4 linked regions of the Drosophila melanogaster genome follow. The protein of the gene in region 1 interacts with the protein of each later gene in a biochemical or structural test. Each region holds a gene or a part of one and is shown on either strand. Other genes may lie near its edges.

The links.
Region 2: the proteins of His4:CG31611 (region 1) and msl-3 form a complex in vitro, tested with the Drosophila melanogaster proteins (2 studies listed by BioGRID).
Region 3: of the proteins of His4:CG31611 (region 1) and mof, one has a biochemical effect on the other in vitro, tested with the Drosophila melanogaster proteins (3 studies listed by BioGRID).
Region 4: the proteins of His4:CG31611 (region 1) and Sfmbt form a complex in vitro, tested with the Drosophila melanogaster proteins (3 studies listed by BioGRID, with this or other methods).

What each region holds. Positions count from the first base shown.
Region 1 is NT_033779.5:21,424,093-21,429,713, forward strand, and holds His4:CG31611 (histone H4), read right to left. Parts: upstream 914-5,621; 5' UTR 858-913; coding exon 546-857; 3' UTR 501-545; downstream 1-500. Other genes in the region: His2A:CG31618 (histone H2A), read left to right, coding at 1-71; His3:CG31613 (histone H3), read left to right, coding at 1,158-1,568; His1:CG33804 (histone H1), read left to right, coding at 2,983-3,753; His2B:CG33908 (histone H2B), read right to left, coding at 4,160-4,531; His4:CG33907 (histone H4), read right to left, coding at 5,608-5,621. UniProt on the Drosophila melanogaster protein: Core component of nucleosome. Nucleosomes wrap and compact DNA into chromatin, limiting DNA accessibility to the cellular machineries which require DNA as a template.
Region 2 is NT_037436.4:7,119,804-7,127,067, forward strand, and holds msl-3 (male-specific lethal 3), read right to left. Parts: upstream 5,731-7,264; 5' UTR 5,620-5,730; coding exon 5,518-5,619; intron 5,401-5,517; coding exon 5,222-5,400; intron 5,156-5,221; coding exon 4,598-5,155; intron 4,540-4,597; coding exon 4,043-4,539; intron 3,988-4,042; coding exon 3,903-3,987; intron 3,848-3,902; coding exon 3,730-3,847; 3' UTR 3,410-3,729; downstream 1-3,409. Other genes in the region: form3 (formin 3), read left to right, coding at 1-324, 380-947, 1,016-1,149, 1,212-3,154; BBS1 (Bardet-Biedl syndrome 1), read left to right, coding at 6,123-6,402, 6,466-7,264. UniProt on the Drosophila melanogaster protein: Component of the male-specific lethal (MSL) histone acetyltransferase complex, a multiprotein complex essential for elevating transcription of the single X chromosome in the male (X chromosome dosage compensation).
Region 3 is NC_004354.4:5,871,535-5,879,534, forward strand, and holds mof (males absent on the first), read right to left. Parts: upstream 5,320-8,000; 5' UTR 5,219-5,319; coding exon 2,735-5,218; 3' UTR 2,306-2,734; downstream 1-2,305. Other genes in the region: GAA1 (glycosylphosphatidylinositol anchor attachment 1), read right to left, coding at 1-1,484, 1,545-1,722; Usp30 (ubiquitin specific protease 30), read right to left, coding at 5,896-6,013, 6,072-6,271, 6,512-7,788, 7,843-7,924. UniProt on the Drosophila melanogaster protein: Histone acetyltransferase that catalyzes the formation of the majority of histone H4 acetylation at 'Lys-16' (H4K16ac), an epigenetic mark that prevents chromatin compaction and constitutes the only acetylation mark intergenerationally transmitted.
Region 4 is NT_033779.5:13,169,548-13,180,311, forward strand, and holds Sfmbt (Scm-related gene containing four mbt domains), read right to left. Parts: upstream 7,210-10,764; 5' UTR 7,122-7,209; coding exon of another isoform or gene 6,990-7,121; exon of another isoform or gene 6,987-6,989; intron 6,923-6,986; exon of another isoform or gene 6,876-6,922; intron 6,836-6,875; exon of another isoform or gene 6,676-6,835; intron 6,406-6,675; 5' UTR 6,267-6,405; coding exon 6,120-6,266; intron 5,819-6,119; exon of another isoform or gene 5,730-5,818; coding exon 4,892-5,729; exon of another isoform or gene 4,680-4,891; intron 4,395-4,679; coding exon 3,096-4,394; intron 3,019-3,095; coding exon 2,769-3,018; intron 2,704-2,768; coding exon 2,192-2,703; intron 2,119-2,191; coding exon 1,766-2,118; intron 1,238-1,765; coding exon 905-1,237; 3' UTR 102-904; downstream 1-101. Other genes in the region: CG43925 (uncharacterized protein), read left to right, coding at 6,990-7,121, 7,210-7,341; CG5439 (uncharacterized protein), read left to right, coding at 7,704-9,266; Alg7 dolichyl-phosphate N-acetylglucosaminephosphotransferase, read left to right, coding at 9,931-10,076, 10,136-10,277, 10,340-10,553, 10,614-10,764. UniProt on the Drosophila melanogaster protein: Polycomb group (PcG) protein that binds to the Polycomb response elements (PREs) found in the regulatory regions of many genes.

The sequences.
Region 1 (5,621 bases):
TTGCACAAGGTGGCGTGTTGCCTAATATACAGGCTGTTCTGTTGCCCAAGAAGACCGAGAAGAAGGCCTAAACGTTTCAAAGGCTAAGCTAAAAACCTACATGTACATAAAATCGTCAATCAAACCGTCCTTTTCAGGACGACCAAATTATTACCAAAGAATTGAAAAATTTTTTAGCTTGGCAATTTGTTGTAATTAGTAAATCATAAAGAATTATTAACGTAAAGATGGTAATGTAGTAAGGGTTTTCTACTATATGCGGTATAAACTATAATTTGCTTCTTTAAACAATCGCACACCACGATGTGATGCTGTACATGCGGTGTCTGAAACCATTTGTACAGTCTGTACAAATCCATGTTAGAAATACACATTCTATTTAAAAGAGTACGAACGACAGACATTTATTTTTAGTTTAACATATTTTTTGGGAGTCCCGACCAATAAAATTAAATACTTTTTGAAAATCTTCCTCCTTTTAAAAACTGAATGGTGGTCCTGAAAAGGACCGATTGCTTAATAGGGGTACACAGGATGTACACTTTTTAACCGCCAAATCCGTAGAGGGTGCGGCCTTGCCTCTTCAGAGCGTACACAACATCCATGGCTGTAACTGTCTTCCTCTTGGCGTGTTCCGTGTAGGTCACGGCATCACGAATTACGTTCTCCAAGAAAACCTTCAGAACGCCACGCGTTTCCTCGTATATGAGTCCAGATATGCGCTTCACACCGCCTCGACGGGCCAAACGGCGGATAGCAGGCTTCGTGATACCTTGGATGTTATCACGCAGCACTTTGCGATGACGCTTGGCGCCACCCTTTCCCAAGCCTTTGCCTCCTTTACCACGACCAGTCATTTTTCACTGTTCTATACTATTATACACGCACAGCACGAAAGTCACTAAAGAACTAATTTCAACGTTTCTGTGTGCCCCTATTTATAGGTAAAACGACAAAAACCCGAGAGAGTACGAACGATATGTTCGTTCGCTTTTCGCTCGTCAAATGAAATGGCCTCCGTTTTTCTCTCTCTCTCTCTCTCTCTCTCTTTCACCGTCCACGATTGCTATATAAGTAGGTAGCAAATGCTCTGATCGTTTATTGTGTTTTCAAACGTGAAGTAGTGAACGTGAACTTTAGTGAAACCCAAATCGGAGATGGCTCGTACCAAGCAAACTGCTCGCAAATCGACTGGTGGAAAGGCGCCACGCAAACAACTGGCTACTAAGGCCGCTCGCAAGAGTGCTCCAGCCACCGGAGGTGTGAAGAAGCCCCACCGCTATCGCCCTGGAACCGTGGCCTTGCGTGAAATTCGTCGCTACCAAAAGAGCACCGAGCTTCTAATCCGCAAGCTGCCTTTCCAGCGTCTGGTGCGTGAAATCGCTCAGGACTTTAAGACGGACTTGCGATTCCAGAGCTCGGCGGTTATGGCTCTGCAGGAAGCTAGCGAAGCCTACCTGGTTGGTCTCTTCGAAGATACCAACTTGTGTGCCATTCATGCCAAGCGTGTCACCATAATGCCCAAAGACATCCAGTTAGCGCGACGCATTCGCGGCGAGCGTGCTTAAGCTGACACGGCATTAACTTGCAGATAAAGCGCTAGCGTACTCTATAATCGGTCCTTTTCAGGACCACAAACCAGATTCAATGAGATAAAATTTTCTGTTGCCGACTATTTATAACTTAAAAAAAATAAGAACAAAATTCATATTCTATTATTTATGGCGCAAACGGTACTGGGTCTTAAATCATATGTAAAAATACTAATTCTGCCAGAGAAGGAATAAAAATAATCTTATTTTAATTGTCAGCTCAACATTTATTAAATTAAAGAAGAGGTTAATAAATATAAAATATATATAAAAATATATATTTTTATTTGTTCTTTGTGCGAACATCCTTTAAAGCAGTGAAAGTGTCGTGCGGGGCAAGGGACTCTGAACCTTAAACATCTAAAAAAAAATCTGAATTCTGTGTAAGACAGTTTGAAATTAATGAAATTACATTGATGACGGCAATATTTATAAAATAACAGAAAATAATAAAATAAAACTAGCTATTTTATATTTTTTCCATGTGTTAACTGAAGAAAGTGTTATTATTGAAGAGGTCGTACGGGACAATTGACACTGTCCCTTCAAACGCCTGTAAAAAATAAAACCTATGTAAAATTCAGCACGGAAATTGGCTAATTTTGTTGCGGAATGTAATATATATTACATAATAAAGGATAATACAAAAATTGTTTCTTTTTATTTTTTATTTGATTTATTTATTTGACTACATAGACGGTAATGCATATGTGGCGAGGAAATCGATTGATTTCAGAACAAATTATTTTAAAATATGCATGAAAACACATTAATAACAAGCAAACACATTAATAATTTAAGAAAATATTATTTATTATATTAATATTATGTTATTTAAGAAAGTATCTGTATTTTTAACGATCGAAAATTATTTCTGAATGCTGCTTTAAAGCAAATTTTTCTGTAGTTCAATGTGAACTTAAATCAAGTAATAAAGTATCTTAATTAATAATAGACGCTTCTTTCAGAAGCCCTTCTAGGGGATGAACGTTTCAATTTTAATAAACATAACGAATTAGTGAAATATTTGCAATGATTCTTATTTTATTAGATGTTTTTTTATAAATTGGTCCAGTTAAAAATTTGAATATAAAAATTCAATCAACATTTGAAAGTCTCAAAACCCATATTACATCCTTTTAAAAATGGAAAGTGACGAAAAAATTATTTAAAAGTGTAGAACTATTAAAACCTTATTTTTATTAATGATTTAAAATACTAAAAAATTAATAAAAGTTTACACTTCAAGCAAACTTTGACATAGTAAATGACTGATGTCAGTAGCATTGTTAAAGTGCTCTCCTCCTCGATTCTCATCAGAGCAAAGGAGGTTGGTAGGCAGCGCGCGAGCCATTTTTAACAGAAAAAAAGTGTTCTCAGTGAAAAAAAGATGTCTGATTCTGCAGTTGCAACGTCCGCTTCCCCAGTGGCTGCCCCACCAGCGACAGTTGAGAAGAAAGTGGTCCAAAAAAAGGCATCTGGATCTGCTGGCACAAAGGCAAAGAAAGCCTCTGCGACGCCGTCACATCCGCCAACTCAGCAAATGGTGGACGCTTCCATTAAAAATTTAAAGGAACGTGGCGGTTCATCACTTCTGGCAATCAAAAAATATATCACTGCCACTTATAAATGCGACGCCCAAAAGTTAGCGCCATTCATCAAGAAGTACTTAAAATCGGCCGTGGTCAATGGAAAGCTTATTCAAACTAAGGGAAAGGGTGCATCTGGATCTTTCAAACTGTCGGCCTCTGCCAAGAAGGAAAAGGATCCGAAGGCAAAGTCGAAGGTTTTGTCTGCTGAGAAAAAAGTTCAAAGCAAGAAGGTAGCCTCTAAGAAGATTGGTGTCTCCTCCAAAAAAACTGCCGTTGGGGCTGCTGACAAAAAGCCCAAAGCTAAGAAGGCTGTGGCTACCAAAAAGACTGCCGAAAATAAGAAAACTGAGAAGGCAAAAGCCAAGGATGCCAAGAAAACTGGAATCATAAAGTCGAAGCCCGCCGCAACAAAGGCGAAAGTGACTGCAGCGAAGCCAAAGGCTGTAGTAGCGAAAGCGTCAAAGGCAAAGCCAGCGGTGTCTGCAAAACCCAAAAAGACGGTGAAGAAAGCATCGGTTTCTGCTACCGCCAAGAAGCCGAAAGCGAAGACTACGGCTGCCAAAAAGTAAATTGTGAAAAAGTGCAGTATTTGGTACATGTTCGCAATTGAAATTTTAGATTTATGATTTATAGATCTGAAATTTGTTTAAACAAGTCCTTTTCAGGGCTACAACGTTCCGTTGCAAGAGAAAAAAACTTTTATTTTCTTCCACTTATTTATTAGCTGACGTTCGCAGCAACAATAAAACGTTTCATGTCATGAATTACATTGAATGTTGGTCGCATTCAGTTTTCGTTCCCGATTTTTTTGTATTTATTTGAACATTACCCAATTACCCATATTGCGGGTAAATAAGTTTTATTTGTAAATTCATATTCGATGATTGGTGGTTGAAAAATGCATTTCTTTGGTATAACACATTGTGGCCCTGAAAAGGGCCGTTTTGGATTATTGTCCGCATTCGCAGGAGAAAATTATTTAGAGCTGGTGTACTTGGTGACAGCCTTGGTTCCCTCACTGACAGCATGCTTGGCCAACTCTCCAGGCAAAAGCAGGCGAACAGCCGTTTGGATCTCCCGACTGGTGATGGTCGAGCGCTTGTTGTAGTGAGCTAGACGAGACGCTTCGGCAGCAATTCGCTCGAAAATATCATTTACAAAGCTGTTCATTATGCTCATCGCCTTCGACGAAATTCCGGTGTCAGGATGGACCTGCTTGAGAACCTTGTAAATGTAGATGGCATAGCTCTCCTTCCTTTTGCGCTTCTTTTTCTTGTCGGTCTTGGTGATGTTCTTCTGAGCCTTGCCAGCCTTCTTGGCTGCCTTTCCACTAGTTTTCGGAGGCATTGTTCACGTTACTTATATTTTCACAAACACAATTCACTTATCGTAATGTGGGCCCGAACGCGTTCACGTTTATACTTTTTTTCGAGCAGTCAATTCAGGTCTAAGTCACCCACCCCTAACTGAATGCGCAGGCAAACGGAAAAGTATAAATATTTCGCTGTCGGGGTTAAGCGAGCATTCTTGTTCCGTGCGTAAAGGGAACTAAGTGAAATAAACGCGAAGCAAAATGTCTGGACGTGGAAAAGGTGGCAAAGTGAAGGGAAAGGCAAAGTCCCGCTCAAACCGTGCCGGTCTTCAATTCCCTGTGGGCCGTATTCACCGTTTGCTCCGGAAGGGAAACTACGCATAGCGTGTTGGTGCAAGCGCTCCATTTTACCTAGCTGCCGAAATGAAAATCTGGCCGCTGAGGTTCTCGAGTTGGCTGGCAATGCTGCTCGTGACAACAAGAAGACTAGAATTATTCCGCGTCATCTGCAACTGGCCATCCGCAACGACGAGGAGTTAAACAAGCTGCTCTTCGGCGTCACAATTGCACAAGGTGGCGTGTTGCCTAATATACAGGCTGTTCTGTTGCCCAAGAAGACCGAGAAGAAGGCCTAAACGTTTCAAAGGCTAAGCTAAAAACCTACATGTACATAAAATCGTCAATCAAACCGTCCTTTTCAGGACGACCAAATTATTACCAAAGAATTGAAAAATTTTTTAGCTTGGCAATTTGTTGTAATTAGTAAATCATAAAGAATTATTAACGTAAAGATGGTAATGTAGTAAGGGTTTTCTACTATATGCGGTATAAACTATAATTTGCTTCTTTAAACAATCGCACACCACGATGTGATGCTGTACATGCGGTGTCTGAAACCATTTGTACAGTCTGTACAAATCCATGTTAGAAATATACACATTCTATTTGAAAGAGTACGAACGACAGACATTTATTTTTAGTTTAACATATTTTTTGGGAGTCCCGACCAATAAAATTAAATACTTTTTGAAAATCTTCCTCCTTTTAAAAACTGAATGGTGGTCCTGAAAAGGACCGATTGCTTAATAGGGGTACACAGGATGTACACTTTTTAACCGCCAAATC
Region 2 (7,264 bases), on another chromosome or scaffold:
GAATAGCCAGACAGATCGAACAACCTGCCACGGATGTGGACATCAAGGAGCAAATGGCCGACTTTTTGCAGGCCGCCGAATCCGAGCTATCCGTCCTCCAAGCTGGCATGAAACAAGTGGAGTCAATGCGGCTCAAAATGTCCGAGTTCTTCTGCGACGATGCGGCCACCTTCCGGCTGGAGGAGTGCTTCAAGATCTTCCACAATTTCTGTGATAAATTCAAGCAGGCGGTCAAGGAGAACGAGCGCCGCCAGCAGCAGGAGCAACAGGCCACGCTTAGGAGGAAGCAGCGCGAGGAGCAGCTGGCCCGCAGAGCCAGACAGAGTAAGTGCATCATCTACTTGAAAGAAATTTATTTACTTACTTAGTTATTCTGCAGTTGGTCAGGCTGGAACGCCAGTTTCGGACTCGGAGCATTCCTTCTTGGGCGATGCTATCTTCGATCCTAGGGCTAGTCCGGCGCTGAGTCGCCGCCACCTGGGATCCGGAGAGATCAGCAATGGTTTCATCCGCCTGGAACAAGACGGAGCCTCTCCGGACATCACACCCAACGGAAGTCTGAGGCGTCGGCGTAGTCGAGTTCTTGCCGAGGAGGATGACCTGATGGAGTTCCTTCGGAGTTCGACGGGTCCTCACCACGATGGACACAATAGCAGGGAGCGGAAGGCGGCCTACGGCAGCTTGGATCGCTCGTGGGCTCGTCGTGCCCGCTCCGGAAGTTCCAGTCGCAAACGACCCGATTTGCTCAACATTGACTTTGGCATGGATCGTGAACGGGCCAGCTCCCCGGCTCCTCTTCTTCAGCAGCAGCAGCAAAATGTCCAGGAGCGACTGCAATCTCCATTGGCCAGTACAGCTGGAACGCCCACAACGGCAGCGAATACGCCCACGGGCAGTGGATCGGCGATTGCTCAGACGCCATCTAATAACGAGGATGCGAAACCAAGGTAAGAGATTCACATTAAGTATCTTATAGTATCTATCTATATATCTATCTATCATTTACATTTTACAGAATATCCCGTGAGTGGCGCCAGAAGATCGAGACGTGGCTTCAATCCAACGAGAGCGATGAGAAGCAAAACGAGGAGTACAGGCGGAAGCGTCGTCTGGTCAACGCCAATAGGCGATCGCTCGAAAACGAAACTGGTAAGATGCCCCTCACAAACTCAGGACCAAATGGATCTCTTAGATATATTCTATGTTCGCAGAAAACGAACGAAAACTGGACCCCTTGCCGGAGGAGAAGATCCTGCCTTCGACGACGACAGCTACGCCAACGAATACGCCTACGACCACGAATCCCACTAACTCCACTAATAGAATGGATCAGGAGTCCGGCAAATATCAGCGCGTCTATGCCGACTGGAAGCCCTCGAGGACGCTGGAGCAGACGGACGTGGTGGCCAATCTGCAGGCCATTGCCGATGCCCAGCCGCACGATGCATTGCGTCAACATCGCCGACAGCGATCGCAGGAACAGCCGAGTCCCATAGCACTTCAATCGATAGCCGAGGAGGATCGTCGAAAGTCCCTTATTCAGAAACAGGGTGAAAGGGACAAGAGCAACGAGCGGTTGCAAATCTATATCAGGCGATCCTCCAGCCGGGAACTGCAGCCTGCGAAAACGGAGGAGCATCCACTGCCACCCAAGTCACCAAAGCCACAAGTGTCCGACGACACCTTTGCCAGCCTGCTCAGTCACCACAAGACCCAAAACGAGATGCAGGGCTCCTCCAAGGACGTGGATGCGGATAATATAGAGACGCCACCAGTGAGCCGACGGGTCATAGCCACGCCCACCACCACAGTGGTCACGGTGAGCATGACGGATAAACCAAAGGCTGCGACGGAGGAGAAGATCAACCCAGCGGAACAGGATGCGCCGGGTCACTTCGATCGCCATGCCCTGGCTCGCCGCACACGACGCTACAAAAGACCCACGGACTACAGCAGTGGCAATGAGGAGGCGCTGACCACCAGCACAGCAGAGGCAAAGACTTCTCCATCGAAGCCAGAGCCACCCGCACCCGAGAAGTCCAAGCAGAAGGAGCGCACGATCAACAAGCTGGAGAAGGTGGGTCGCCACATAAGCTCCATCAATCAGGAGGATGTAAGGGAGGCCATTCGGAATCTTAAATCACCCACGGGAACTCCAGAACGACCTTGGAGTCCGCCACGGGATATCACACCCTCCAAGCTAAAACTGTCCGCCAGTGGTCACCACGAACTGAATGACGAAGGCTTCGAGGAGACTCAGAGTCTTGTGTCGGACACTCCGTCTCACGGAAAGGGCGAGAGCACAAACTCCTCCTGCAACGAGGGTGTAAACGAGACTCCTGCCCGCCAGCGGCCGATGCAGAAGCAAAAGCCCACAACCACCAGCATCAGCCAGATGGGCAGTCGGTTGGCCGATCGCCTGCAGCAGGCCAGGATGAAGAGTTCCGGATCCTCAGGATCGGCAGCCAGCAAGTCACAAAACCAAATCCCTGCCACCCAAACTGCAACGGTCAAGAGGAGCCTCTCCGCCAGCAGACCGCTGCGCATGCCCAACGGTCAGCCGTTGGCCAGTGCAGCTCCGCTGAGATCCGCATCCACTGTGAGACGCTCGCCGCAGGAGCAACAGGTTCTAGCCGGCGTGGAGCGGAGCAGTTCGAGAAACAGTCTGCGCTCCTCGCGATCGTCCATCAACAGTGGAGCCTCCACTCAAACTGTAGTGAGACGACTGCCCGCCGTTCAGCGAGCGGGAGCCACTGTGTCCGTTGACTCCTCGCCCAGCAAAAGACCACTGGCCGCCCAGAATCTGCGACCTACCCAGGGACGTGGAGTCCCCGCCAGCAGGAGCAGCAGTAGCGGGTCGAGTGTGGGACCCAGTGTGATCTTGGTGCGCAGCAAGATGTCCAACACGGCTCCGAAATCGAGTATCCATGGTAGCACCAGTTTTAAGGAAAACCAGTCCCAGTCCCAACCCCAGTCACAGTCCCGAATGAGCGCCGCTCGCAGCGTGGTGCTGGTGAAAAATGCCCTGAACCAGCAGCAGCAGGCCAGGATGAGTGCGAACCCCAGTCCGCAGCAGAGGAGCACTAGCAGCAGTCGATCCGTGAGCAGCTTCATGCGACCCACGGCCAGCAGTGCCACCAAGCGACAGAAGTGAGGGCCGGCAGTCCAGTCCAGTTCAGTCATCGTCCAAGTTAACGTCCCAAGTTTACACATGTTACAAACGCGAATGCATCCAACTCCAAGCCGTCCAAGCGACAATTTCGAATTTCTAAGCAGGATCTGAAACACAAATCAGCACACACATAGTTGTTACAGTTGCAATATTTTGAGAAATTATACAAATCTTAAGAATTCCCTGCACATTCCAACTCAAGGTCCGCAAATCCTTAATACAAAAGACAACAACTTTCCAACTCTTAAATATATTTGAGCACAAAAAACAAGGCATGACAAAAATACTAGCATGTACTACTCAACTAAAACTTAGGTTAAGCAAAAAAAAAAAAAAAAACAAAAAAAAATGTTAAAATCGTATTTTCAATATTTAACATATATAGTTATAGGCATTATTCGATTATACGATCACATTAGGAAACTTTTTTATAGAAGTGCGTTGTTTACAAAGTGTGTAGTTGAAGAAACCAAAACGACAATTACAAATCTTTAAATAAAAGAGCATAAGCTTTAATCGTAATAATAAATAAACTAGATAACTACGATCAACTAAAGCTAAGCAGCAATCCCATCCAGGGAGTCCAACAGCTCCCGCTGCAGATCTTCCTGGGGCAGGGCAGTGGAGTTAACAAAGTTTTCCCTGTCGAACCACTCCCTGTGGTTCTCCAAGTAGCTGAAAAACCAACAGATTAGCTTCGTGATGGACTAGGGAGGGGTCTTAGACTTACTTGATGAAGGCGTCGAGGTGGGGAAGTAGATCTTCTAGCTTCTTGTTGCTGATCGGCGATGCGTTTAAGAACATGGGCATTTTAACTGCAAGTACCATGAATTAATGTGTGTTATAGAATGCAAGAAAGATTGTACATACTCATTAGCCTAACCAGGTGGGGAGCGCCAAAGACCATGGACTTTTCTGGCGGCGATTCCGCTGACAAAAGCCGCCACTTGAATGTTTCGTTCAGAAATCCACGCATCTCCACGGGCAGTTTGTAGGCAGCCGTATATGGGGAAGTCCTCTCATAGGCCTGCGCAGTGTTTTTCCCGCTGGCGGTAACAATGTAGAGCAGGCATTTTTGCAACTGCTTCTCGTACTCCGGACCGCCGATATTAATAACTCCGATCTGTCCATTGGTGTCGCCCGACCCTTCTACCACTGGCGTGCCGTCCAGACCGATCAGTTCCGTGTCACCGCTGGGATTGATATACTCGTACGACTTGTTCAATATTAGGCTGCAGTTGCGCATGTTGTCGTCTGTGAGGTAGTTGTGGACATACTCCTTCTCCTCCGTATACAGCAAGTGGTCATCCACGTGGAACTCAAAGTAGATACGCAATCCGTCTACCACCTCCTTCAGCATGCAGACACTGTTAATAAGTAAGAGTATAAGTGGGTTGTTAAGTCTGATATTGAGTGGTAACCAACGTGGACATAACGCGATCGTATTCCCGCTCCATTCTGGCATTGCGACTCTGCGTGTTCCTGGCCCTCGAGCTGTCCTGTTTAATGCTAATGGCTAGCTCCACGGCCTGCTGCTTGACGAAGTTTTCCATGATGGTCACGATGGGCACGCGGGCGGGCAGTGCGTGCTGTTTGCCTAGTACCTTGATCATATTCCGATCGTACTCTATAAGCTCTCGCAATCGCTCGCTGACTCGCATCATAATGCGATCCTCCTGTGGCACATGGTTATAGACCGATACATCATTTATGGCATTGTTATAAAAGGTCTCTGTTTGTCTGCCCCGGTTTCCCTTTAATCGGCCATCTCCGGACGGGGGTTTTTCCTTTCGCTTGCCACCGCTGTTGTCCCGCGTCCGGTTGCCCGCTGCTCGTGGAGTGGGCGCCATTTCGTGCTCCGCCTCAAGATGTCCCGTGTCCATTGGAACCACTATTGGCTCCTCAACGTGGGCCGCTTTTCCGCCGCGTTTCTTCTTGGCCGATGGCTTATCGGGTGTGCCCTTGTAGGAGTAGTCACCACGACTGTGCGAAAAAGAAGGGGGAACTCGTTAGAGAGGTATTCCACGCATGTCTAGGGGGTTATCTTACATTTGCAGCTTGGCAGCTTCGGCCAGCTCCCTTTGCAACTGGCGATTCTCCTCGGTGTCTTTCAATAGAACGGTGGCGCGCACACAGCGATCGTAGGATGGACGCCAGCCCTGGAAGTGAATCTTGTACTCGTAGAACCTCAGGCCATGCTCGTTCCGGCGCTCAAAGACGTTTAGCACCTGCGGCATGTACGGAAAATTGCGGGAAACGGAAAATCATTTGTGAAAACTTCGCCTACGACGTTTGCTTGACATTTCAATGCGCGCGCGTGTGTGTGTGTGTGCATGTGTATTTACCTTGCTGGTGTAAAGAACACGGGCCTTCGATTTATCCGGCTCGTAGCAAAGGACTATCTCGCCCTTGTGAAAGAGCGGTGTCTCGTCCCTTAGCTCCGTCATTACTTGCAGTTAAATAGGGCCGTAGTCAGTCACTTATGTATACAAAATGTTAAATATTGAATTCAACTGCTGGCGTCGCTGAGATGATATTTATAACGAATGTTTTTTGCGATAAGCAATTGACGTGGGTATCGAATATTCCCTCGCACTTATCGATAACACATACTGTCGATGCTTGCACGTCTTTAGCAGGCCGGCCTTAAGTGTGACCAGACAAAATGCATTTTTGGCGGCCAATTTAAATAAAATTTTCTATCATCAGTAATTTGATCACAGTTTTACCTTTTGCCAAATGATTTTTTAGTTATACGTAGCTTTACCCTGTTAGCATTTAAGAATAATGCTGACGATCATTTTGTGTTTTTAAGAAAAAACCCAAATAAGTAACAAAAAATGTGCTGTCATCCCGGTTGCTAAGGACAAGAAAAACCAAAACAAAAGCATGTCCTGAATCACCTGTTCGTTTTCACACTGTGCTGCAAATTTTTCACCAAGATCCTGCCATGGCCGGTGCTCCCAACTGGCTTCACGTGGACACGGCGGAGGAGGCTCCTCCACCGCATCTCACCACCCTCACCAGTTGCATGGCCCTGAGCGACGTGCAGTGCGACGGATATGTCCGGCTGCTGGCGGCGGACATTTCACTGGACAATGCCGCCGAGGAGCCCACTGCCACGCTGAAGGTTTTCCGTGGTCTTAAACTCAAGCACGAGCAGCCACTGCCGGGGATTCCAGCGGCCATTGAAAGTCTCTACATCGACGAAACGGAGCCCAAGACGCCGGGTAGAAATAACGTTGCATTTTAATATTTTTAAATTAGATTCCATAATGAATACAATTTTCCAGTAATTGCCGTGGCCATCGCTGAGTCAGTGCTCTTCTATCGTCACCTAAAGCCATACTTCAAGTACACGATTCCCGCACAGGACTCCGAGGATCTGGAGCTGGAGGTATGGCGAAAACTGCCGGTTGTGAAGCCAAGTGCCCATCCCGCCCTGCTTGACTCCCTAAAAACCATAGACCACTCCAAGCTGTCGCGGAAATCGCAGCGACTTCTGCAAATGGGCGAGCAGGAGCGGGAGCACTTCATTGCCACGCACAAGGACTCCCCAGTGGGTCGGGTTGGCAACATTGTGGCCATGTGCTGCATAAAGCGCATCTCCAGCGATGCCAATCCCCCGTCCCACTTGGTCCTGGCCACCGATACCGGGCACATCATGATCCTGGAGCCGCAGGGCTTCAATTTGGTTTACCAGGGCAAGGCCTGCGATGATGAGACGGCCGTGCCGAGCCTGATCTCCGTGCAGGGAACCTTTGAGACGGATTTCTGCATCGTGGTGGCCACGCGAAATGGCGGTGTCTACCTCCTGCGGAAAAGCCAATCGGAGGGACAGGAGATCTTCAAGCTCGGCATCCCCCTAACCGGCCTCCTACTGCTGCCCATCGATCAGACGATAATCGCCTCCACCATGGACAATCGCTATCTGTGCTACTCAAAGCGGGGCAAGCTGTTATACCAGGTGCCCATGTCCGATCTACCCGTTTGCCTCCTACCGCTGCCCTTGACCCATCTGGGACTCACCCTGGTGGCCATTGCCCTTAGAGGAGGAGTGGTCAAGTTTTATTTGCAGCGCTACCTCGTCGA
Region 3 (8,000 bases), on another chromosome or scaffold:
CTTGGTCTCCAGCGCGATGACCAGCGGTACAGTCAGCACGGCCGCAAATAAGCCCAGGGCAAAGTTGAGGAGCCCGATGACTATTAAAGCGCAGCCATAGATTAGCAGAAAGGCCACATGCAGCAGCTCCAATCCTCCGGGCGGCAAAACCACCACAAAGGGCAGAACGAAACCGATCAGAGAAAGAAAACTCAGTACTGAGGTGGTCAGTGGTGCGGCGCCCATAGGAATCTCTAGGAAATATTGCTGCAGGGGCAGCACGTTGCACAGGAAACCAATCAACAGGGTGGCAGTAAGGTAAATCAATACCGAACCATACGGCAGCTCGAACTTATCCGGCTCTAGGTTCTCCTCCAGTTCCGCCTCCTGTTCGTGCTCCCTAAGCCAGCCAGCGGCCTTTTCCAGCTCAGCGTTGGTCGCCGGGAGCGTGGACCACGTTAGATAGGCCTTAAGGAAGGCACAAGCTACCAGAGCCACCAAAGCGGGCATATAATCCCCAATGGAGATGTAGCGATCGTTGCTTACGATCACATAGAAGAAAAAGCTTTGATGGAAGCGCTCCAGAAGGTTGTTCAGACTCCTGGCTATTCCCTCGATGGCCTTCAGCAAAGGCACCGCTGCCGATCCTGGGCTGCCCTTCAGTGTGGCATGGGTGGCCCTTCGATTGGCAGCTATGGTCAAAGCATCGATCCGATAACGGTGGAACAGCCCATGATTGCCAGTGGGTACGCCCGACGACTGGCTGGCCAGCATGGTCAGCATCTGGCGGAAGTTCTGCTCGAAGTGCGACTGGCTGTGACGACGCTTCTTGCGTGGCGCTTGTTTATAGCCAGAGGCGATGCCCTCGCGGGCCATAATTCTCTGCACCAGATTGAACATATCCAGATTGGGCAGCTTGCCGTTCAAGCCCTCTATTCGCACATCCACATGGTCAATCTCCAGATCCTGAACTTCAATATTCAGAGCCGCTTGCAGCGAACCAGCGCGAGCGGGCAAATTGCCAGGACGCAGGTACGCCTTGCTCAAGTCCAGTTCCCGGTCGCCATCGTGATAAGCCTCCAGCCAGGCCTGCATGCCCAGCTGCTCCTGTTCGGTGATCAGGAAGATCAGATCCTTCGCCCAGTAGTTCTTGCGCCGGGCAAAATCGGCGAAGGCCAGCAGAAGCGGCACGCTGGCGGAAATGTCCGTGTGCACGGAACTGGCAGCGCGATATGGAGCCGCAAAAACGATGCCCTCCGTGGAGGCAATTCTTGGGGCCCTCAATATGCCGTAGATATTCTTGCCGTGATACTCTTTACCGCCGCCAAATGGGTAGCGCAACGTGTAGTTGTGCGTGTGCGTCTCCAGGCCGAACTCGTTCATCTTGGCCGCAATCCAGGCGTGCGGCGTGGTGGACAGATGATCCTTTCGCTCCCGCTGCAGCTCCTCCAGCAACTGGATGGCCAGACGATTCGCATCGATGCGGATCTCCGGATAGACCAAGCCTACAATAGATCACACCAATTGTTAGCGGCTCTCTTTTGGTGACGCTGCACGTAACTCACCTGGCGAAAGAGCATTCTCGGAGAGATATGTCCCGTGGTTGAACTCCGGCAGCGCCAAACAGAAGAACCAGGCCACACCCGCCACATAAAGGGCGTAGCACACCTTGCGAACATGACGCGCCAGTCCGTCCACCAGCTTGCTTTGCGTCGATATCGACGGATCGGACAGCAGGCCCATTTTGGCTGCCCTATATCCTGTATATATCCCGAATCACAACAACACGAATCGGACAAGCCGGCGGAATTGTATCGATGCGGGCGTTATCGATAACCTCGATAACCGATTGCTTATGACGCTAGGGAGGAGAGGGTTAGCAATGGATTTTAATGCTCGAAATTTTAAACTTGTTTTTCCAATGTTTTCGATATTTCTATATATATTTTTTATTATATCAAAATATACATATTAAGCTAACCTACAAGAAATGTGTTGCAAAAATAATGAAAAGAATAACCTGTCGTTGTAAATATTTATTTAATTTTTCCTCTTTTTGACGTTAATGTAACGACGCATTTATTTGAGAAAGTACATCATGTTCTCAGATTGGAGTTTTTCTTTTTTACAGTTTAAATCATTTATTATTGTTCATTAGTCAGTAGGAATCGTTCAGTTCTTTCTGAACTTAACCTAATGTGTAGCCTAAAAGATATTATGGATTCTCTTCCTTAATTATAGTGTATAAAAATGTACCGTGGAGAGATTATGCTATCTTACGTGTAAGGAGTTCATAGAGATGTATTCTCTTCAGGCGTCGGCATATCGGCTGCTGTGGAAGTTTATTTGGTTTTTAACAAGTCCAGAGTTTTTCGAGATAAAGTAGTTAAAGATATATATTTCAAGAACACAGAAGTTTTTAAAATTTTTAAATGGTTGTTCCAAATTCCCTCTCCAAAAACATTAGCCAAACGAATTAGACATTTGGTTCTATCATTAAGAGTTACAACAGCCTATCCGTAAAACTCCTTAACTATAAAAAAAAAAAATTGTAAACCAAATGTTAAGTATTACATTGAACCTTCTGATGGTTCCATTTAGATATATGACTATACATTTTTCGTTTGGAGGGGTGCAATAGAATAGCTTATTCCTACGCTTTCTTTAAAAAAAAATAAAAAAAAAAAACCTAATCGTCATCGTCAATAACAATTATATGCGATGATAGCAGAACGGGGTCTCCAGGTTCCGTATGCTAGCCGGAATTTCCCGGAGCTCTGACCACTGCCGCTGCAGTTTGCGGACTCCAGACGAGGTAATCGGTGTCGATGGTCAGCTTGGGCTGCTTGAACTGCGGCAGCTGGAGGTGGTCTTGAATGGTCTTGGACGTAACGCAAATGACATTCTGGCCCTTCCAATACTTGATCATCTTCATGGACTGCAGCGTGTAGATAATGTCGTCGTGGGTGATGCCACTCATTTCGCTCAGCTCCTTGATTGTGATCTGCTCTGGAGCGCAGCGGGTTTTCATCAGCTCCAGCAGCGTGTATGCCCAATAGCTGCGATAGCTCAGCCTACCCAGATCCGAGAGCGGTTTCTCCGGACTACCGATTACGCCCTCCTTGCGCGACAGCTCATAGCTAAAGGCTATTAGTAGCTTTCCAAATCCCTTACGCTGATGCGGCGGCAATACCAGAATGCAGGCCACGTTGTAGTTTTCCAGCGACTTCTTTTCCTTGGAGAAATAGCCCACAATGTGACTGCCCTCCTTGTCCGTCTCGCAAAGGATGTAAAAGAGAAACGGGTCCATGTCGAAGTATAGAACCTTGTGGTCCAAAAAGAGCTTGGCCATCAGACACAAAAGTTGGCAGTATAGTGACTCCTCCTTGCCGTTCACCTCGTAAATGGATATATTGCCCTTGCGGTAGATCTCTCTTCCGGGCGGACGCCTGCGGTCGCATTCGTGCAGATGATAGGCATAGCTCGACCTGAAGCGCATGTACTTTAGGCAGTACTCGCAAACATATAACGTACGTGCCTTGCCATATTCTTCGGGGAAGGGACTAAAGTACCAGGTGTCGATCTCGTAGTTGCCAAACTGCAGCTTATCAATGTACTTGATCTTCGTAATGGACTCGTGCTCCTTCTCCAGCGCCGCCTGCGTGGCGGTCAGCTCAGCGTGGCTCTTCTGCACGTGGTTGATCTCATCGTAGCGCCGCTTCTGGTAGCGTGTCATCTTGCGGTCGCTGTAGTCATAGCGACTGTTCTCGCAATAGGACAGATAGTAATCCTTGTTGGCCGCACGCTTCTGCCGTTCGGATGAGGCAGCTGCCGCCGCGGCGGCCTGTTGGGCGAGCATTTCCCTGCTAGTACTTGGCTGATCGGGGGCTAATGGTGGCGCTGGCAGCACGGTAATACCGCCCAAGTCATCCGCATTGTCCGAGATCCTATGCCTGCCCACCCATCCGTCCAGGCGGCGATTGAGACCAACATAGTGGACGTAGTACTCATCGGGAGCGGCCGCATTCTCAGTGGTGCGAGACTGAAGCACCTGGCCACGGTGCACGGTGCCATCCTCGCGCCGAATAAAATAGATCTTGTCGGGATTTTCGCTTATATCGATCTTTTGCATCAGAGGGTCACCTGTTGTGATGACCGTCTCCCTGGAAGTGTTGTCGTGCTCCATGGTCAAGGCATCATCTTCGTCCTCCTCTTCCTCTTCATCGTCATCGCTGCTGCTAGTTTCGCTGCTGTCGTCAGAAATGGCCTCAACGTTGGCGCTAAGTACGGTTTGAATGGGCAGAACTACGGCTGGCGGCGGCATGTTGCGCTGGCGAGGATCACGCGGCGCCAGGCGGGTGGGCAGGCCAGGTGTCGATTCCTGCATGTAGCGAGAGCGTATGTAGGGGGATAAATATACTGCTGGTGGTTCCTCGCCGTCATCTGTGGGCGAGGCGGGAGTCTCGGGGACTTGTTCCGCTGCTGGAGGAGGTGGTGGTGGCGGTGGGGCAGCCAATGGCAGCCCCAGTTGTTGTGTCCCTTTGAGATGAAGAGGAGCTGGAATGGTAACCACCTCGGTGATTATTGCATTGGGAGGAGCATCGGGATCCATAACGAAGTCGTCAATGTTGGAACCACTGCCGTAGGGGTTGATGTCGGCCACGCAGATTACCGTATCGGAGGAGGGCTCATCCTCGGTTTCAATTTCCTGGTCCACCACCTCTTTCTGCTTCTGCGGCTGCGCGGGCTCCTGTGCCTCCAATTCAACTGGACCTGGTGACTTCACCTGATCCTGACCGTCCTCCTTCTTTTCCTCCTGCTGCTGCTGCTGTGGTTGCTCCGGCTCGGGCTCCGGTGGTGCCTCCTCCGCCTCGCTAACATCGTCGTAGCGGGAGGAGCTGGACGACCTGGTGGAACTAGTCGATGTGCTGCTCGCCGGCGTGCTGTCCTCCGAAATGGGACTGATGTCGCGATGCTGGCGCTTCGCCGGTGGCTCTGACTCCGCCGCGGCCTCCGCTTGGACACCGCTGAGGTCGAGCGACTGCTCCGCCGACTGATCCGAGCCGCTGACGTCTAGACTGGCGCTCAATTCGGCCGCCGCATCTTCAACCGGCGTCCTCGGCGGACCGCCAATTGTGTACGCATCGGTTGGCTCCTGTTCCGGCTCATGCTCCTCCTCAATCGGCTGCTCCTGCACGTGGCCCGCGCTGGGTGTCTGTTCCAGCTCCGCTTCAGACATTCTTAGCCACTAGATTTGTCCAATTGCGTATTTTTGTTCACTCTTTAGGGAAATGAAACGAAATACGGCGTGAAATGCAACCCTGATTTATCACAACATGTCCAGATAATCGATTATTAATCGGTGGTTATCGATGTACAATACTTTGCACCCTTTTTGAAATTACCCTTCTGGATTTTTCTGTGCATTCAGTATTATAATATATTTTATTTATCCAAAACCTTCAGAGAAAGCACTTTAAAAAATTGGAACTGATTTCGAAATTTTTATTGAACATCTATCCTACAGAATTAACGCGCAAACAATTATTGGTAGTTGATTTGTGTACATTGCTAAATACAGACAGCTAAAAGCACGGCATGAATTTGGAATTCTTAAAAAATCTTAAATGCATAGATAACAAATGAAGAGTCGAGCTCTCTGTTACGATAGGGAGTTCCTATATGCAATAAGCCGTACACAGAGTTTGGATTATGCGGAGACCATTACATGAACCCGCCGAGTATAGGTCAGATCATCGTGGGTTCCCGTACTTATATGAGTTATGTATATATATCTATATAAATGTGACGCGTGTTTGCTATGGCCACCGTTCGACGAAAAGGATTTGGTTTCGGATATTCATATTCATCACATCAAAAGTATGGACTAGAATAATACCGACGACCTACACCTGACTAGCGCAGATTTAGCTGCCTCTGCTGGCCACGATCGTAGAATAAAAGATAGGCGGGGACGCTCAACACCTCGTCGATGCTCACCTCCCGCACAATTGTATCCGATGTGTAGTACCACCTAATAAGGATAGCACAGAATTAGCATAATTATTACACAGAGGCAATGGAAACCATACCGATGTGCGTTCCGCAACGAGCCACGCCTGTAGGTTACAAAGTGACCGCTGTTTGCCTCCCCGGAGTGCACCACCACGGCCAGAAGCCGGTAAAGATTCTTGGGGAACATCGTGCCAAAGCCCTCGCCACCACCAACGCCATTGTTCATCGGCAGGCTGGAGGAATACAGCGACATTGTCGAGCCCCAGGGAGTGCCAGCCTGTAATCATGAGCAAAAGTGTTTGTTTTAACAATATGCTAGTTACTAAATGTAAACAGTTCTTGAATTGAATGCCACTACTCTTTGTACACCAATTAGAAAAGGAAAGACCTATATTCTATAGATATATCCTATACATATATATCCTTTAGATATATGTATTTAAATGATCATATATAAGGATAATTTTTACAGGGGAAGTTTGTTATTCTGGGGCAAACATATGCAACACACGCTCACCTGGCTATTGAGATGCGGCTGCACGAAGCTGTAGGGCGCCATGGAGAGGCTCTCGGGGAAGTGTACATAGTCCTTCCGCTTGCACACCTGTCCAGTTGGCAGCCACACCGTCCGCGCCACATGGATGCACAGGCAGGCCGGTAGTTTAGCGAACGTAACCGATTTGGTGTGCGTGGTGGTCTCGTTGCAGGAGTCACACTTGACATCGCTCAGATCCTCCGATGTGATATACTCGCTAAGCAAGTGGCCCAAACTCAAGCCAGTTCTGCGTTGCGGCGGCAGATTTAGCGTTATGCTGTCGAACTTATCGTACCGAACGGCCGACTTGGAGCCGCAGCCATTGCACACGATCTGTGCGCCCATGGCGCCCTGAAACGGATGCGCCACTTGGCTGGGCATCATGTTGGACCAGATGGACACCCGACCTGGTCCGCGATGCAGGCGCTCTAGCGATCGACAGGAGCTGGACACCCGGCGATTCAGACCCTCATCCTGCTGCTGTTGGGATTGTGGAAGTCGCGGTCGCGACGAACGCTCGCCGCCCAACATAGGCGTAGCCAAGGAATCCGGATTGCTGACGAGCGGAAAGCCAAAGGGTGTCCCTGGCGAAACGGCATCCAGAAGCACGGATCCCAGGCGATCGTTTCCGTCGCGTTCGCAAACAGAGGCAGGCGAATCCGGTGTGTGGGCCTCGGAACGCACCAATCGCTGCAAACTGGTGCTCTCATCATACTCCATGTTTAAGAAATCAGTGAGCATGGCACTGGAGGGCCGGTTCGGTTGATCCCCGATCCTCTGGCTGGCTCCCAGTCCCGCTGCCATGGAGCTAAATGATCGAAAGCCCCCTACTGGCGTTGCTGTGCCTGCCAAGCTGCTGTTATCATCGTTATCCGTGGGCAGAGCATCCGACAGACAGCCGAGGGGCTGTGGTCGTATGGCCTCCTCCTCCAGGCAGGTCAATAGCACGTGGAACAGCTCGTGGGCGTCGTGCTCCTCCTGTGGAATCACCCAGCCCAGGGCATTCAGAGCCCGGAGAACGGCTCCCGGTGAATAGGGATCGCCGCGCAGAGTGGCATGGGTGCCATTGACCACTTCCAGAGTGTTTAACATCGACGTAATTAAGCTTTTTCGATCCGGCGAGGCGTTGTTGTACAATTGCAGCCAGGCAATGAACTGGGGACAGGCGGCCATCGCCTGTAGCAGGGTGTTTAGGAAGCAGGTCAGTCCAAAGTTGTGGAGACCGGCAATTTGGCCGCGTCGTTGACGCAAACGGGAACCTGCAAATGTTTCGCTGGAGTAGGGAACTACGCCATGGAAGATCTACTACTCACCCGAAGGACCCCAGAAAACGAAGGCTCCGACTACGGCGGCTACCGTCACTCCGGCGGCCATTAGAATCTTCTCGCTCTCCATGGCTTGAGATTTCCGATGGCTGGTTTTCCGGTGCAGATCACTGCGGTACCGGGAACTCCCAATCCCGCCGCCAAAA
Region 4 (10,764 bases), 8.3 Mb from region 1:
ATCTAAAAAAAAAAAAAACAGAAATGAAAATGAGTTTTGACTGTAGAGCACATATAAACCCAAAGAAAACCAACACATATAAAAGTTAGTCGGCGATATTTCAATACTTGCAATTTTGAATTCGGTTTTATTAAAGTATCTTGACATTAGCTGGTACCTTAGGGATATCTAAATACATATTTTATCATTAAGGTTGCCTTCTTCAAAAGTTTGCCTTACACCAATAATGCCCTCCTTGCAGAGATGTGTGACACCGGAACGAAGTTAACCGAAGGAGAGAGCGGCTAGTTAATCGTGGATCTTACAGACTAGGAGCGACTTCCAATCGCTCCGTTTACGACTGAAAGTTGAGGGCATGCTGCCTGGGTTATTTGCTTGCGCTTGCTTCTATATAAAATATGATATTCTTGGGTCCTATATAATCGGCGACGGCTTATTTTATGTACACTGTACAAGCCCATGCTATGCAATCTCCCCATATATTCATGTGAATACATGTGTTGCATGCATTGTTATTACTCTTATTTTTATAAAAATATGCGTGATTTAAAAAAAGTCACTGTCATCAATTCAATCATCTTTATACAATTGTTGATATAGAACTCTGACTGATATAACATGAGCGTACGCCTAAGGTCTACGGTTTACAATTTAATCGGTATAAAATAACGCGCTGTGAGACTTGAGTTAGTTATACAATTGTATCATGGATGGTTGATCCATTCTAGGCAACGTTTGTGTTTCGATTTCCAGTGCTAACAAAATACTTCAATATCTATATATCTATATATATATATATATATATTATATATGCATACGCAGTAGTGTACACGTATAAAAGTGTGTGTGTGTGTTCTATCGGTGATAACTTTCGTTTTGCTTTGAAAAAACTAAAATCCGCGCACTATAAAAACGGTGATTTGTTGGTCTTGTGGGATCTGGCTCTGCCCGGATTAACCTTGCACTTAAGCTGTGCAATAAGGTCGGAAATTTTCAGTGCTGGGCCCACCTTCATGCCCAACAGTGGCATGATATCGTCCTTGGTCAGCTGCAGGAGTCGCTTTCCGTCGATCTTGTTCCGGCTGAACGTGTCACAGTGGGCTGTGCAATCGTTCACCCGCAAGAACTGGGATACGTCGTACACGTTCCATGTATCCGGCACCAGCTCCAAGTGAGGTTCACTCGAATCGATGTCGGCCAGACGCGGAATGTACTTATTATTCGTCGCAGAGGAGTTCTATAGTGGGGTAAAAAATAAGGACTTAATTAGTTAACGTATGATGTTGCATTGCTGGTTGGGTGTGTGACGGAACGATTGGATGTCGGTGTGTTGGGGCTATTGGGGCTGTTGCAAGTACCAAAAATAACAGTGCGTAAATTAAATTATATACAAATTGGCGTTTTATGAACGATTTGATTTTGGTTATATACATTTATGCAGTTGTGTTACGGAGCTTTAGCACAGTGGTTTAAGTTGGGTCGGACAATCTATTTCATATGAAATAACAAAAACTTAAGCTAAACAAGGCAAACTTGGATTAATATGGAGTATTTTGGTGTATAAGCTGATGCTTCTATTTCGAAAAAAAAAGGCAAATAAATTAAAGGGGAATTCCTCTAAATAAAATTTAATTAATGTTTAAAACAAAAACCACTATGCTCTTTGGACCTCCCGTTTAGATGCGTGAGCTGAACTTCAGGCGGGCAAGCAGGCTGGCTGGCTAGATGGATGACTCTACGCACTATTATTCCGCTAAGTACTCACCGCAATGTAGCTAGTGGCTTTGCGACCCACAGTTGGTGGCGCAGGAGATTTAGTAGTAGATTTCTTTACCGTTTTGTTACTGCCCGTGGCGAGAGTTACCAGCGAGGCGGACCCACTTCCACTGCCCGATCCAGCGATCAGATCACTGGACGACTGTGTCGTTGACTGCTCGGAGATGTGGCTGGTGCTTCCGTCTCCATCGCCATCCGCATCGGGATCCTCCTCGTCGCCTTCCTCCTCGGGCTGATTGTTCTCGTAAAAGGCAGCATTGTGATGCTCCGGCTTTAGCTCCAGCTTGATGCTCAGCTTGGGTAAGTGCGGCGTGGTCTTGAGCGCAATTGTACGCGATTTGACTGGAATAACATTTGAAGATGCATGATGATATACAGGAATTCGAATGACTTTGATTAGAAAAAAAAAACTTACCCGACTGAGTATTATTATCGGTTGGAGTTTTGCCTCCCGCTGCTCCCTTTTTGGGCTTTCGCTTTCGCTGTATTTTGGGCTTTGGTGCCGGTTTCGGGGCCTGCTGATGTGCTACTCTCGGTGGGCCCTCTAGCTTATGGTTGACCAGTACACACCATCCGACTGGATATATATCGGCTGATTCGCAATCCAACCACTGGTCGTACTCATCCGTCCATCCGTCAAAGTGAACCTTGAGTAGTCGACCAACCACTCGCGCCACCGTGGCCACGCAAACGAGTCGGGGATCCATGAGATCTGCACACTCCAGACTCATACCCACCTCAAATCCATGATCGGGAATAATCCGATGAAATAGATGCTGGCCAGCGGCTACGGCTCCCGTGTCGCGGAGGTAACCCTCCCAGGTGAATGTACGAGAGTCGTAGCCGTTCGGTGGGGTAACCGAAATGTTGTTGACGGAACAGAATCCAGCCGGAAAGATACACGGACTCTTTTCATGGTAACAGAACCTAAAAAAAAATACAACAGAAGCTATTTAGATTTGCCGACTTAAATTGAAGCTTTTAAAGCTCACCAATCCGACCCTGAGGCATCCGGTTGGTAGGAATCAATGCGTATCATCATGTATCCGAACTTAAGAACCGCCATTACTGTAGCCGGGCATATGGATGAAAGGTTGAGTGGATCCACCGCTTCCAGCTTCATGCCCTCCACAAAGCTATTGGTTTTGCCGTCACTGTAGTATTCGTCGAAGGTGAAGTTCATCTTAAACAACTCGATTGTGGCATCGTCCTCATGAACCTCAATCATGGCTTCGCGACCAGCTGGAAGTAGGAATGGTATGTAAAATGTTAAAATGGTAATGTAAAAACATGTATGCAGAAAAAGTAAATATTATTACCTAACATGCGCTCCAGATAGTCCTGCGGTGCAGCCAGATTATGGCCTACTGTGGTTGCCCAGCCAACTGGATGGATGATGGGCGAGTCCTCGTGACACCAAAAGCCGTCGTCGGAATCGAAGTAGCGCAGGAAGAGGCGCTTTCCCACGATTTTGGTGACGGTGGCCAGGCGCACCTGCGAAATGCGATCCTTGTCCACGCACTCGAGATTCAGGCCAAGGCGGAAGCGCGACTGGAGGCTGTCGTTGATTTTGTTGTAAAAGTTGGAGGGAAGGGTGCGGGCTCCGGATAAACGTCCCACCAGAAAGTCCTTCCAGTCCTTGTACTTGTGCTCGATGGTGCGGGGCGGAATTAATGGCTTGCCCCGAGTGGCGCACCAACCCACCGAATGCACCTCGGCATTGCAGAGGTTCACCCAGAAGTCGTGCGAGTCCGTATCGAAACCCTCGTAGCTCATTAAGGCCTTATAGCCTTTGATTTCCAGGATGGTGGCCACCCAAAACGAGGTAGGAGTCTGACCCGGTTGGATCACTTCGATGCTATCGCAATCCGTATTTTCCACTTCAACCTTCATGCCCACGCCCAAATTGTCCCATACCTCGCAACCGGGTGCATGAGGAAAACAAGTGACGGGTGCCGCATTGAAGTTCTCCTTGCTAAGGCGGGGCAACCAGTCGTAGGAGTGTGTGGGATCATACATGCGCCGCCGAATGCTGATTATCTTCTCCATTTGCGGACACGGTACGGGAAGGCGCTCGTATTTGGGTATTTGCGGCAGGTCATCCTGTGGGTAGATGTCCTTAAAAAGTCGCAAGGCCTTGGGCGTGGGTGCTGCGCTCAGATAAGAATTGGGTGTGGATGCACCCTCCTCGGTGCTGCCCGGAGCAGTGGCATCGCCCACTGCTCCGCCGTTTAACGCAGCAATTGTTTCATCTGCTGCCATTTGTACATTATTGGCAGCTGCGTCGCCGCCCATTGACATGGGTTCGCCGAAGCTATTCAACTGGGTAATCTTTGATTGATCCGTAATGCGAAAACGATAATTCGCATTCTTAATGTGCGCCGCATGCAGATCGAGCTCAATATCCGACTGCGACTGTTGCTGATCGCCAGGCAAATCGGCTGACTCCGAACCCGCTCCAGGATCCGGGGAACTAGTGGTTGCCTGGTCTCCCTCCATCTTAGTGTTAAGTACCAACGAATATAGTTCGCCTCGGGCACAGGCCATGCTGCAAAAACGTCGCGATTTTGTGTAGAATGTGTGCTTCACTCCAATGGCGCCACAACGTTTACAGACAGCTGTAGAAGAAGAAAAAACGAATCGTTTAAGTGCATATTAATGTAAACGTTAATTTCGTATTTAATTTAAATGCTATCATGGTATACAAACCCAAATTCTTGCAAAACAAACCCAAAACCATAAAGATAAGTGAAACTAAGAGTAGGATTTAAAATAAAAAGCTTGAAAATTAATATCGTGTAGAGTGGATCGATTGCAGATTTACAGGTGGTTTTCATTGTTTAAATAAACGAATCATTACTAATTACTTAGAAAGAAATAACTATTTACTTTATCAAATACATAAGCTAGTAGACAGAGCAAGCCTTGAAAGATTGTAAATACAAGGCAAAGGCTTTTGGAATTTTAGATAAGTTCAATGTACATCAAACTGATGATGTTTAATAATATATGATCTCAACTAAGATCTCTACCACTTATCGTTACTTATCGTTTACTTTTCTGCCCGCAATGTTCTAATTAAGAATCGACCCACTCTAGTGCACAGCAACCTTACCCATGCCATCTTTCTGTATGGGGATCACCGAAGGGTCAATGTTGCCCCTGTAGGCGATGGGTGTCTTCAGCACCAGTCCTGGCCTGTTAACGGGCTCGATCTTGCGCGTCTTGCGCTGTGATCGCAATGCGGAGGACGTGGAGGCACTGCAGGTGGCGGTGGTTGCGGTGGAATTGGCTCCCTTGGCCGTACTATAGGTGCGCTGCATTTGCTTGCTGGATGTGTTTTCAGTGCTGACCATTATGTTGCCAAAGGCATTGCCATTTAGCGTACCCATCGCAGGGACCAGAGTTGTGCCCAGCAGCTTGTGGTGCAGCAGGCCATCGGGCAGTGGAACCAAAAGATCGTGCTCGACTCCAGGGACGCCCAAGCTTCCGGGCATCTGTGCCATGCAGGAGGAGGAGGACTGCGAAATGTCCTTATCGGAGGAGGTCATAAAGTCGGTGCCATCGTACGAATTATTGTCCTCGTTCATCATCACAAAGTCGTCGATGTTGATAATCTCTTGCTTGGGCTCCAACTCGGATCCATTATCATCAAAGTTATTGTCCCTCTGACCGTACACTTGGTCGTCATCGTCCACGACCGCCTCCATGGCCATGCCAACCATGCCGTTCTCCACATCGTTATCCATTGCCTCCGCATAGTTCTGGAAGACTGCCGCCGCCGCCGACTGCTGGAGCAGTTGCTGCTGCAGGCCGCCCATGTGGGCAAATCCGTACAGGTTGTTCGAGTTGGTGGCAATCAGGGTGCCCGGCTGTACACCCAGTGCCGCAGCAGTCGCCGCCGCTTGACCAGTGAAATCTCCCCCCATTAGGCTCATCATCGGATTCATGTCCTTTTTTTGAGCATTGTGGGTTTTGGAGATTGGAGGTGGTTCGGGTTGAGGATCGACCATTGGTTATGTGTGTTTTTGTGTCGAGATTTAAATTGTAACCAATATATAAATCAAAGAAAAGAAAGTAGAAGAAATAAGTAAACAAATTCCAATTGTTTATAACTGAGACAGACAAAAAAGATAGTTTGGAAATTTGGCCAATCCCCAAGGAGTACACGTTGAAACCTAAAGAATTTGGGTTTGTTTTCGACTCCGAGGACTATCAAATATAATGGGGTGCCTTAGTGATAGACACGTATCTCGTTTTCGCGATGCTCATTTGAAAGCATTTTATATTTATTAGTCTTCGAATTGAGAGATTGGCTTCTGAATCAAACCGTCTGCACTCACCAAAGTTGGCTGATGGGCGGAGAGGTCCTCCATGACAGAGAGTCCAACAGTGGGATGACCCAGCAGAGTGGCCGCATCCTCCAGTGTAATGCGCTCCGAGTTGTACTGACTACTCATCCACATCATGCGCAGCTCGGATGGGTTCATTTTAAGCCAATGGTGCTATCGATTCCGGATTGGTCAGTATGGCAAAAGCATTTATGGGACAGCTTTCTGGGTTCTCTTCAAAAAGTATTGCTTTCTACTGCTGCGTGTCGCGTTCCTTTGTTTTTCGAACTCGCATTGACTGAAAACAAACATTGAAATAGTTTAGTGTTTTGAAATAATAAAAATTGGTCAAGATGGGGCGAATTTAAAAAGTAAATCCCTATTTATTCCTATCTAAAAACTACGTAGTTATTTACTTAGTACTTTTTAAGCTGCCTGCTAATTCGAATTTTTAAAAGAATATTATGTTCATATTTAGAAATCTCCGTATCTATTTGACGCTGATTGCTAATCTTGCTGCAATTTTATGGACAATGCAACATAGAATGCTCCCAGTTTGTTTGGTTACGAATAGCTCCTGGAACCGGCGAATGTTCCGGCCATATGGGCTGTAAATCCTGACCGAATCCCAGTGTTCCTCGTTGTTCGTTTTGTTTGCCTCCTTCTGTTCCCGTTTTCCTTTTTTTTTCATTCTACTTTTGCCTTTTCTGCACGCAGATGCTGCGCGGTGAGGGAAGCGTACGGAAATGCGATTGAAGCCTGTCGTAACGGTCGGAATTTCAGCCGCCGCGTGGAGTTTCACACAACTGAATAAGGTTCGAGCATATATCCGATTTATCAGAATTTTTGGTTACATTTCATGGGTTCAATCTCGAAAAGTCAATGAAGCGTTTGCGCAGACAGCCAACGCGAACAGAAAAGAAAATTTACGACGTTGCTGCCCCTGGATGCAAACTTACACTTTTGCACGTTGGACGCGTTCGGATTGGGTTTCCCCAGTTGCTAGCACTTGCGGTATGACATATTATTGGATCTTCAATCGTTTAACAATAGTTTTTAACAGATTTTTGTGTGCTAACTTCTTTCGCATTTGCGCGAGCAGGGATGGCAATTATACGCCAGGGCTACACAGTCGCACAACAGCGTTTTGGCATTATTTTGCCCGCTAAATCACCAGGGATGCACAAGTGGTCGCGTTCAGCGAGAAATAATGCAGAGTGATTGTTATCGATAAGTGTACAATACTGCTTATCTCAGTAAAAACACAATTTTAATCGAAATCGTTGTACCTTACCAATATGAATTGGAGAAATTAAGCGCTTTCAGTTATAATTGGTTTGTTTTGATAACGCAACCTATAGTTTTATAAGTTTTTTAGGTACCATAAATTATTTACAAACAATTTTTTTATTTTAATAAATCACCTAATGCTGAGTCACAGTCACTTAAAATCATTAATCGGTGATCTGAATGCGCCCATTCCAACGCTTATCAACACTGTTTGGCTTGTTTTGTTGTCAAGCAACCAGTGTTGGCACACAACGGAGTGAGAAAAATGAGTAGAAAATATAATTAGTTGAATAATAGCCACAAATAATGCCAGAAAATGCATCCAGCTCGATGCCCACAGAGGCAGGCTTCCGGAGCATGCGCAGCCAACTGGCGGGCAGCACCTTTGGCCAACGGCGCGAGGACATCTTTCGACGTCTACAGGAAAGTGCGCATAAAATCTCACAGAAGTTCAGTGGCAAAGAACTTGCCACTGAGCGGGATGAATCTGTTCAGGAACTGTGCGAATCCCTCGAGGAACTAATGTCCTACGGACTTAGGCAATCGGCAGGCACTTCCTCCTTCAGCGCCGCCAGCTTCATCCAGAACATGCAGGAGATGGTGTCCGGAAATGCGGGCGGAGGCAGCAACAACAATGACGCCACTTTCTGGGAATTCTGCCAGACGCATTTGACGCCCCACGAACGTCAGAGGTATATGGACCTTAAGCAGATCTGGACGAATGTGGGCAGAGGACGTGCCTTCATACGCGCCACACTGAACGAGAAGCGACTGCATAGCCATGTGCTCACCTGGCTGAGCGACGAGGAGCAGCTGCATCGATTTTACACACCTTGGTCCCTGCTACTCAACGATGAGGCGGCCAAGAAGCTGCCAGAGATCGTAGACTCCCTCAGTGATGTACTGTTCGCCCTCAATGTGGACACCACTGAGCTTAATGCACCCAGGAGATCGACGCCAAGTGTTGCCGTCAAAGAGGAACCAATTATATTCACCACCAGTCCAGTGCCGGTGGTGGGACGCCAAAAAAGACCTGGTATTGCGGTGGAACGACCCATTGAGTGCGTTAGCTCCACAGAGGATTTACTTGGTGCTCTAAAGCCCATCGAGTCGGTGGAGGTTCAGCAAATACTCTCCAAGGAATCCATCGAACAGGAGTTAGCCCAGCCACAGGAAGAAGTCAACTTGGGTCCCTTCGACCCCATTGAACCCGAGCTGGAGTTTCTCAAGACGCCCTTGCCAGACATTGGCGCGCATGTTGGAGAGTCAGAGCTCTATGAAGACCGAAGCGACACCTCCTCGCAGTGGAGCAAGTCCTCCTCCTCTGCCAATTGCTTGGCTAACAGCCAACAGCAAGCTGCGCTGGAAGAGCATGTCAACCAGCTAAACGAAAGATGCGCTCTGCTGGAAACCCGTGTGGCGGAGCTTAGTCTTCAAAATCGCCTGCTTATCCGAAGGCTAACCAAACAGTTTGAAGAGACCGGCATCGACCCCAGCTCATCGCTGTGCTCCAATTTCCTGATAACCATTCCGCATGTAAAGCTGGCAAAGACACAACGATCTGGTTCCCACTACACTTACGAAGTTCACATCACGATGAGGCAGCGTTTGGAGCACTGGACGTTTTTCAGACGCTACAGCGAGTTCTACAAGCTGCACAAGTCACTGCTTAAGACCCATCCGGTGGTCAGTGCCGTGGAGTTTCCACCAAAGAAGCATTTCGGCAACATGAACCTGGTCTTCGTGGAGGAACGCCGCCAGCAGCTGCAGATTTATCTGCTCAATCTGGTGGAGACCCTGCCGCAGGTGGAGGCCTGCAAGTCGAAGGCGGAGCTGCAAAAGGTCTTCCCCTTCTTCAGGGATAGGTAGCAATCTTTACCGAATCCAAATTGACAAAGGAAGCTCGAAAAGAACAAGTATTCGCAACATATTTTATCTATTTCGTTGTAGATATCTTTATCTATATGTGTAATAACGGAGTTGGTCCAAGTGTTGTAATCATTGATATTAAATAAAGTTAAGCCTTTTTCATCTAGTAAAGTGTTTTTACTTTCAGTCTTTAAATTTTTAACGATCTCTTGATTTTAGAAATACTATAACATTTTCTAACTTTGATATGTAAGCGAAATTAAATTAAGATTATTGCCGACTATACAAATTAAAAACTATTTTCACTAAGGTAGGTCAAAATAAAATTAAATTCATTTGTGGTATTTTATATATGAATAATTTAAATTAGTAAACTAAAATCAGCTGTTTGGTTTGTCTAACAGTCGAAAGTACGGGCACACTAGCCGCCGAACAGCTGAGTTTGTTGTTATCAGCAATTTGAGTTTCAATTGCGTGTACTTTTTTTTGTCGGCGTAATTGATTTCTGCACCATGATCGAGTGATCGGCTGGTTTTCCGCGGCCTCCCACTATCCCAATTGAAACAGCGCACTCCGTACGCGTGACTCCGGCAAATTTGCTGCGCACAGAGCTGCACCAGCTAATTGAATTAGTGCAGCGGAAGGTGGATTTTCAAGGCCGACCATGTCGGGAGTCGCCATAGCCATCAATGCGGCCATTTCGGGCGCCGCCTACTGCATGACAGTCCGGATGATACCCCGCTTCCGCGAGATGTTCATCAAGGCCAATCTCTTTGGCAACGATCTGTGCAAGAAGGACAAGCCGCAGGTGTAAGTTCGCTCTCCTTTGTTTTGTAGGTTTTCTAACTAAAACGCTTCCTAAACTCTAGACCTGAATCCTTTGGTGTGCTTATTGGCTGTGTGTTCCTGGTGTCCTTGTTTCTGTTCATACCGATTCCCTTCGCCTTCGACGAGGCAGCTGCCACGGATGCGATTACTGGAGGCAAACCAGATACCTTTCCACATGATAAGGTAGCTATCTAATTGATAGATGTCTTTGTGCTCCACCTTATCGGCTGTTATTCCCCACACAGTTCGTGGAATTGATTGCCGCCCTTCTTTCCATTTGCTGCATGATCTTCTTGGGCTTCGCCGATGACGTTCTCGACCTGCGATGGCGCCACAAGCTCCTGTTGCCCACCATCGCCACGTTGCCGCTGCTAATGGTGTACTACGTAAACTATAACTCCACGACGGTCATTATGCCCAACTTTGCAAGGAATCTGATTGGGACCTCCTTGAATATAGGTAGCTAAGGTTTTCCAGAAATGAAAATCAAGAGATGAAACCTATTTTGATTTCTTCAAGGTGCCTTGTACTACGTCTTCATGGGCATGTTGGCGGTATTCTGCACAAATGCCATCAACATCCTGGCGGGCATCAATGGCCTGGAGGTGGGACAATCCTTTATTATTGCAGGCTCCATTCTGGTCTTCAATGCCATTGAACTGTTGCTCGG